Rattus norvegicus: one gene and its partner. The protein of the gene in region 1 interacts with the protein of each later gene in a biochemical or structural test. Links are inferred from orthologs where the notes say so. Each region holds a gene or a part of one and is shown in the gene's direction. Other genes may lie near its edges.

The links.
Region 2: the proteins of Ap1g1 (region 1) and Clint1 form a complex in vitro, tested with the Homo sapiens proteins (2 studies listed by BioGRID). The link is inferred for Rattus norvegicus from reciprocal best matches to the Homo sapiens genes AP1G1 and CLINT1.

The regions. Positions count from the first base shown.
Region 1 is NC_086037.1:54,652,665-54,657,146, forward strand, and holds the start of Ap1g1 (AP-1 complex subunit gamma-1), read left to right. Parts: upstream 1-1,436; 5' UTR 1,437-1,759; exon of another isoform or gene 1,760-1,865; intron 1,866-1,995; exon of another isoform or gene 1,996-2,126; intron 2,127-2,354; exon of another isoform or gene 2,355-2,491; intron 2,492-4,482. UniProt on the Homo sapiens protein: Subunit of clathrin-associated adaptor protein complex 1 that plays a role in protein sorting in the late-Golgi/trans-Golgi network (TGN) and/or endosomes.
Region 2 is NC_086028.1:30,834,391-30,838,199, forward strand, and holds part of Clint1 (clathrin interactor 1), read left to right. Parts: intron 1-1,056; coding exon 1,057-1,234; intron 1,235-3,809. UniProt on the Homo sapiens protein: Binds to membranes enriched in phosphatidylinositol 4,5-bisphosphate (PtdIns(4,5)P2). May have a role in transport via clathrin-coated vesicles from the trans-Golgi network to endosomes. Stimulates clathrin assembly.

The DNA.
Region 1 (4,482 bases):
AACTTCTTTTGTTGTTTGCTATGGTAAACACTTAATTTTGGCTCTTAAAAGCTATTTTAATCTTCCATGTGAAAAACGTGGCTACCTTTGCCTTGCGTCTCTGCTTGAAGATTTCCTTTATGGACATTTCACTGTGAATTTGGCACGTTTCATTAGTACTCCTGGCTTAGAGTGCTAGCATTATGATGTTCTAGTCTTAGGCTGTACCTGGGGCTGCTCAGGGCAGATGCACCAAAGAAGGGTAGGAGGGTCTGAATTTCATAAATATTCTGTTGTCTAAATCAGTGGGTCTGGATTGGAATACATGTTTGGGGTGTGGTGCGTTTTCTGTTTAAGATGACATCTTAATGCAGAATCCATTGTGAGAGACAGTTGTAATTTCTCTCGTCTTAAATCTCTTCATTTGTAAACTTAGGTTACTTACTTCGACTCAAGAGATTGCTTAGAGGGCTAGGTTGTGCATTATGACCAATGAGACACCAATAGTTAATAAATTTGATCATGACCTTGGAGTCCTTTCTTTCCAGCCACTTGGCATGCCCCAGAAATTCAAGGTCAAAATTGTACGCCTAGACTTACCCAGTTCAATGTCGGTAAAGTATTTTGAAATCCTTGCATGAAAAACGAATGCCTAAGGGAAAAGTTGCAACTTCCTGTTTATGACACTCAAGTCTGAAACTCAGGATTTGTGCTTAGTTCCTGGTCTGTGGTATTCAGTCTACTATTGTGTTTTATTCACATCCCGGGTGGCTTTGTTGCCAATCTATCGGAAAGATTTTATTCTAGGTAGGTCACCTTTCCTTTAAATGGGCCAAGATATCAAGGATCTCTAGGTTCACATGGAAAAGACTTTTGTCACAAGTTAGTAATTATTTATCACACCAGGAACTGTCTAGTTAGACTTTCTTTGCTTCAGGTTATTAGTTCATTCAATCATAGATTGAAAGCCTATTCTGGAAGAGTTTTAGCTGTCTTTTGTCCAGATTCTTTTTTTCTCACGGGAGGGAACTGAATCGTTGGTGAGATTGACACACAAAGGGTGGTGCTGTGCTTGGATCCATTCTTCGGTTTCATCTTCTGTTTTTGCAAAAAAAATTATGAAGATACCATAAAACCAAGGATTCCAAAACTACTCGGCATGCTGCTAAATTTGATCAGAAAAGCTAAGGATTCAAAGGTGATACGAACCACTTAAGAATTCTTTTGGAAACACTAGCTACATGCCCTCTCTGACTTCCTGAGTTACCTTGCTGAGCTCCGCCCCCTCAGGTGACCCCACCGTTTCCCGGCTGCACCACTTCCCCAACCCCGCCACCAAGCGGAACCAAAGTGCGTTGACTCTGGAGTAGGGCCGGACCTTTCTAGCTCAGACTCCTCGCAGCGGTGACTCGGCAGCCGCGTCTAGCGTCATCAGTGACAGCCCCGACCCTTGCTACGCTTTGCGTCGCTCTGCCAGGCGCAGTCGCCTCCTCCTCGGCAAATAGTCCTCAGCAGGGTCCGAGTACTCGGGTCATCCGAGGTGGGAAAGAGCACAGGTTGCAGTTGGAGGGACGCGGAGTGGACGAGGAGAGGGAGCGGAGGAGCGACGTCTTCTCGAGAAGCGCGAGAAGTGAGTTAGAAACTCCCTCCTCGCCTGGGATCCCTCCGCCTGCAGTAGCGGTGGTGAGGCCGAGGGAGCCGCCATTTTGGATGTTCGGTTCCTGCTGCCACTGCTGCCGCCGCCCCCGAAGCTGCTGGTTTCATTCGAGGTTTCGGGCCGGTGAGTGTCACTCGCGGCACTGAGAGCTGGTTGTGTCTTTGGCTCCACTGCAGCTGCGAGCGTTTGACTGGAAACCTCCTGTCAGTCCCAGGGGTCCGGACTCAGCCTGTGGGGGGTGAGGAGGACCCAGGTTGGGTCAGGAGGGACCGGGGAGCCCCGGGCTTGCTCGGACTTCCTGAGGGCCGACCCTCGGAAGCTTCAGAACCGGAGCTCCGGTGCGCCGTCGCTTTCCCTACCTTGGGGTTGTCTGGCCGGTGCAGGCCTCCTTGAACCCATTGACTTTATCGAGCTGCTATCCTCCTTTGAAAGCTGGTTCAGGGAGCCTAGGATTTAGCGGGGCGGGCCCCACCCCCGCGTGTCCTCTCTGAGCCACGTATCAGCGTTCTTGTGTCGGGGACTCGGGTCAGATCTGAGAACTCTGAGCATTTCCCACGCAGGGGTAAAGCTGCCTGTCCCTGCAGTGCCGTCCACTCAGAGCCGGACATCGGCCTCGCCTCCCTTTAACCTTCCAACTAACTTCTCTTTCAAACATTTTCGCCCTTTTTTTTTCTTTTTTCTTTTCTTTTTCTTTCTCTTTTCCTTTTTAAGAACTCACCTGCGACCGCGCTGTTCACTCTCCTCTCCAACTCTCGGTTCTGCGGACGTCAGTTTCTAGGAATTCTCAGGATCTTCCTCATTGCCTGGAACTGTCGGTTATGCTTCCCAGTTAGGGGGCTTAGTGCTGGAGAGCCGTCGAACCACTTAGAGTGTATTTCAGCAGTAAATGGGTTTAAAGCGGGTCAAGCGGCTTTGGGTGGGAAGGAGCTGTCAAAAATACTTTCTGGATTTCCTTTCTGTTCTGAAAACTGAGTTTGGGGCACTTACTGATACTTTTTTCTTTTGGTGTTATATATGCTTAGCATGGAAGGCTGCCCTTGGAGAATAATAACCTGACGTAGGTAGAAAGGAAAATAACTTTTTTAGTTCCTATAGGGATTAGTTAACAGAAGAGCGAGCTGAATGGTCTCTTAGTGACCGCACCCCTCAGGTGTTTGTATAGTAATGATCTTTGCTGACTTCCTATGTTGACTTTTCTCAGAGTAGCTAGGTTTTAAGCATCCATTTCCACCGTTGCCCGTAGTATTTGCCAGACTATAAACTTCTTAAGGTTCGATTTGAAACCTGTGGATCCTTGAAGTAATGATAGCTTCATTAATTCTGTTAAAGTCTGTTTGCAGTCCAGTATGCTTGAATAAAGAACATTTCACAATAATTCACTGGTTATTTCCTACATTTCAAGTTAGGTGAGTGTGGTTGAATCACCCCCGTTTTATCTCACCCTAGGTTTTTCATCTGCAAAAGAGAAACAACTTCTTTGAGATCATGAGTGGCCGGAAACCTAAGTTTATAACATGAACCAAGTTAAATCTCTCAATACTTGTAAAGTTTATATTGATGCAGTATTTAACATTTTTGGAAGACATATTTATTTTTTTATGTTTGAGTGTCTTGCTGGCATACATAGTATGTGCATCACGGGCATGCTCAGTTCCAGCGGAGGTCTTTTGGATCCCCTGGAAATGGGATTCTAGGCAGTTGTGAGCTGCCCTGTGAGTTCTGGGAACTGAATCCATGTCTTCTCTAAAAGCAGTCAATGCTTTTAACCGTTGAGCCACCTCTCCAGCCCTGTGATGCTTTCTTTATTCTTACTAAGCTTTTGAAATGTCTTTACATTTCAAAGGTAAGTTCTTTACATTTAAAGGTAAGTTCTTTACAGGCCACACAGTGACACAGAGGACAGTATTTTCAGTGTAGATATTCTGTGCTCTTGTTATTTGTTTTTAGCAGCTCCTTCAGAACTAGGTTAATTCTTGTTAGACACGAGTTCTGTGAGTGTGCTGCTCCGAAGTTGTGCAGTTTTCTTTTGCTTTAAGAACTCAGCAGTGTCACCTTGTTTGTTATTGCTGAAATTTTCAGTTTTTGAGTTCACTTTTTGAACAAGTATTGAGAAAGCTATCATAGTTATTTAACTCAGTTCATGGTATGGTTTAACATACTGGGATTTAAATATCATTCATTCTTAGATGGTTTACAGTTTACCTTGAGAAAGTATCCTTTTGTTAAACAAATTATTAGCAAAGTGCTGTTTCCTGTACCCTTGAGCAGCACGTATATGAATGTCTACTTTGTCTCTTGGCTGTTGAGAATTGCACTGGAAGTTAACATTTATGTTTAGTAAACTTCCATTTATTTTCTTCCTTCTTCCTTACCCTCTTTTCCCCTCCCTTTTTTTGAAACATGGTTTTGCTAAATTGCTCAGGCTGGCCTTAATTTGCGACCCTCCTACCTTACCTGAGTAGCTGAGATTAACAGGCCTCTGCCAGCAGTGCTGGCCCAGCTTTGGTTTCTGAGACAGTCTTCCTATGTAGCTCAGGTTGGCGGGACTTGTATACTTCTCTTCTCCCAGTGTTGGGGCTGCAGGCTGCAGGCTCCGAGGATGTGTGTCCAGCTCCACTCAGTTGCTTTGGTAAAGGAAAATGTTTGATTCAGTCTGTTTTGCTGACAGCAACTATATAATCTAAGGGTGAATTTTAGGATAAAACTGTAAAATATAGAGGTTTCCATTAATGTCTTGCTGATATTTAACCCAGGCTTATTTTTAAAAAGTCAGGTAGTGGGATGTAGCTTCATGGTAGAGTGCTAGCCTAGCATACTTAAAGCTGTAGGTTCTGTCCTACTCTACC
Region 2 (3,809 bases), on another chromosome or scaffold:
AGCGATCTACATCCGGGCTGCAGTCTTTTCTTTACTCCAGACTCACACAGAGGTTCTCTGATGCACCAGCACCAAGTCGGAGCTGCTCAGAGCATTTATAGTTCTAAAGTGTGAAGATTTGGAGAATTAGAATTTTTTTTAATAAAATTACAGGATTCTTCCCATGCCTCACTCCATTCATTTGCATTCTTGGTACTAAAGGATGTGGTCCTTTCAGCTAACTGGGTCATGGGGCTCAGACCAGAGTTCTTTTAGGGAAACAGTGCTTAAGTGGTTAGTTAGTCAGTCAATTTCCTTCCCTCCTCCTCCTTTGGGTCCATGCGTCTGTCTGCCCTTCCTTCCTCTTTCACCTGTTACTGAGATGGTGATCTCATTGTGTTGTGCTGCACTGCATAGCTTTGGACTCTTGCTCTCAAATGATCACTGAGCTTCGCTCTGGTGTAGTTTACCGTCATGTCTTGCTAGCTTGCTCTGTGTGTGTGCTCACTCCTTCAGCCTTATTCCCCTCCCCTTCTCCCTTCTCTCTGCACCCCCAAACTCGCTTTCTTGCCTTTCTCTGTTGTTTGTTTGTTGGACGCACATCCACTTGTGCAGAGCCTGGGCTGCCCTAGAACTTGCACTCTCTGCCTCCATCTCCTGAACACAGGGGTTATAGGCATGGACCACAGCACATAGCCTTACTTTCTGTTTAAGATATTGTCATTGGCTTATATTTGTCTAAAAATGAAGAACCATTAAGATAAGAATAAAATAGTCATTGAACTCATTGGATGACTTTAGAAAACTGGAAAGATGTTCATTTGTCTTGTGTTTATAGAATGGCTTCTGTATCTACTCCTGTAGCAGTGTTCAAGGGCTTCAGATCTGTCCTGTCCATCAAGGCTGTGAAGTTACCTGAAGACAGGCTTTTGATTGGCATGGGCTGCACCATGTTGTGTTTGTGTGGCACTGTGGGAGATTCGTTTTCCCTTAAAAATAATTTTCTTAGGAGAAGGAAGGACACTGGAACCTTCCAGATTTAATATCCTCAGTTGTTTTTCTTCGTTGTTTACACAGATGAACGGTATGACCCTGAGCCCAAGTCCAAATGGGACGAAGAGTGGGATAAGAACAAGAGTGCGTTTCCATTCAGTGACAAGCTAGGGGAGCTGAGCGACAAGATCGGGAGCACAATCGACGACACCATCAGCAAGTTCCGGAGGAAAGACCGGGAGGACTCTCCGGAAAGGTGCAGGTACGCTGCCTCTCCACCGCCTCTCCACCACTTCTCCACCACCTCTCCACCGCCTCTCCACCGCCTCTCCACCACTTGCTTAAGGGCTTTGCTTTACGCAGCCGTTTGGTTTGGTTTGGTTTGGTTTAATTTTGATGTATTGCTGTTATCTAAAGCTTAGCCTTTTTTAAAAACACACTTTGTTAGAGAAATCTATATGACACAGAAAATTTGATCATAAAGTACAGAAGGCACTACATACCCTTTCTCTTTCTCATGGTTTCAAGATAATTGTGTTACATTTCTTTTTTCTTTTTTTTTCTTTTTCTTCTTCTTCTGCTTTTTCTTCTTTTTTCTTTTTTTCGGAGCTGGGGACCGAACCCAGGGCCTTGCGCTTGCTAGGCAAGCGCTCTACCACTGAGCTAAATCCCCAACCCCTGTGTTACATTTCTTAACTGAAAAACTAGTATTGATAAGCTGTAGTTACAGTGTACAGTTTAGGCTGGAGGTTACCATGTTGAACATGCAGTATTCTCCAGTAACAAATGTCGCCTCCCTGAAAATGCCCTCTATAAAAAGAAAAGTGGAGCCATTTATAAAGTTGCCAGTCACCTAGTTTTATGATACTAGGTCAGCCCTAAGTGCTAGTAATATTGACTCTTCCGAGCGGTCTGCACCTCCTGTCTGTCCCTAACCGTTCTTGTCCTCTACATTTTTCTTCAGGCATCTCAGTCTTGGCCTCGAGATTTTTACCCTCTCTAAAATTTATAATTGTCATCTTACATTTGGACATCAGACGGTTCCATGGTCTAAAATAAGGTGTGGGGGAAGGGGATAATGAAGCCTACGTTGGAGAGAAGGTTAAAGGCTAAAATTTAACTACCTGAGACTTAGTATTGCCGTCCTGTGCTCACGTGACCAGAGCAATCCTGCGCAGGGGTGCACCTGGAGTAGTGGTAGGCACCTGGAGTCGCACAGGCCTGTGTTTATAAGCTTCATCTTCTGATGTAGGACAGTTATAATAAGCTGACATCAAACAATAGAAGTAAAACCTGAGGCCCACTCAGTCTGCATGGACCTGTGGAAAATGAGTTTGTTGTTTGTTTGGGGTTTTTTGTGGTGCTGGTGCTGGTGCTGGTGCTGGTTTTTGTTTTTGTTTTTGTTTTTTTTTAACTAATTAGCATCTTTTTCCTACCCATACATTTATAATAGTTCAGATTACAGTTCATGGGAATGAAGTTCAAATAAAACTATAGCCAGATTTTAAAAAGGTTTCAAAATACCTGTGTTCAGTGTATTCAGTGTGGTTCCAGAGCCATTAAATCTCTAGAATGCCCTTTTTAAGACTTGTAAGGGCATAATCTTTGAAGGAACAGTAGTATCAGTAATAGGAACGTATCTGCTTTCTACCAGAGGCCTGCAGGTGTAACACTGCAGCCTGAGAGAGAGTGTCTAAGTACTCTCCTGTCTTCCCTTATTAATATTCTACACAGGCTCTTGTGTCCTATGTATAAGTTTTTGACCTGACTTGAAGTGGGGGATGAGGTGTAGGGTCTTAGTGATATAGCAGTGTGTGGTCCTACTCTATTTTACCTTCTTCTGATATCCTTAGGGGCTTCTTCTCCTCTTCCTTGAACTCTGCTTGCTTTTTTTTTTTTTTTTTTTTTTTTTTTGCCTTCCTTGTTTGCCTGGGTGATGCTGATGATGGCCAGTCTGAGGCAGGATGGGTAAGAGTTCTACCTCTTTGATCCGGAGAATTCAGATTAAAGATCCGGACTATATTCCAAATACCAGTTGGTGATGTGTGCATGTTGCATTTTCAAGTGTTGGTGAGAAAACAGCATGCTGTAGACAGAGTTACATGTGACTCAGGGCTTTGTGTGCAGCCTTCTTGCCAGCCTATAAGCTATGCTTTCTGACCCTTGATGTATCTAAGTCCCAAAGTGACTTGTATTAAGTTGAGATTGCTTTAGATTGGAGTCAGAGTTCATCAGTGATACTCATAGTTTAAGGGGAAAGTCAAGCATTTTACTTTAGGATATTCATAAATTAAACTGCCTATCCTACAACTAGGGAATATAAATAATGGAACATACTTCAGGTTCTTGTCCCTTGCTTGCGCGCTCTCTCTCTCTCTCTCTCTCTCTCTCTCTCTCTCTCTCACACACACACACACACACACACACACACACACACACATTGTCTTTTCTCTCCCACTCGCCTGCTCAATCCCAGACAAAAACTCAGTGACTTAACATTAGAGAATAGACTCCTTTCATTCCCAGCATGTGGAAATCCTGGATTCTTGCTTCCTAGAGGTTCGCTTTTATAGAGCTTTTGATTGGTTGACTTGAAATGTTAACATGAGTAAAATAATTGTTTCAGAAATATTTAAAATATAGTTAAGTTTCTACAGTTGACAGTTATGTAATGCTTGATGTAACAGTAGCAAAGTGCAGCACAATTGTAAAAACCAGTTGCTTCACATTCGGGTTCATTTTCAGGTGACTGTTGACACAGTATATGGTTTTAAGCTGACCGCTGAAATTTCACTGTCGTATTATCTTCTTTCCTCTGCGGCAGTCTCTGATAGCTC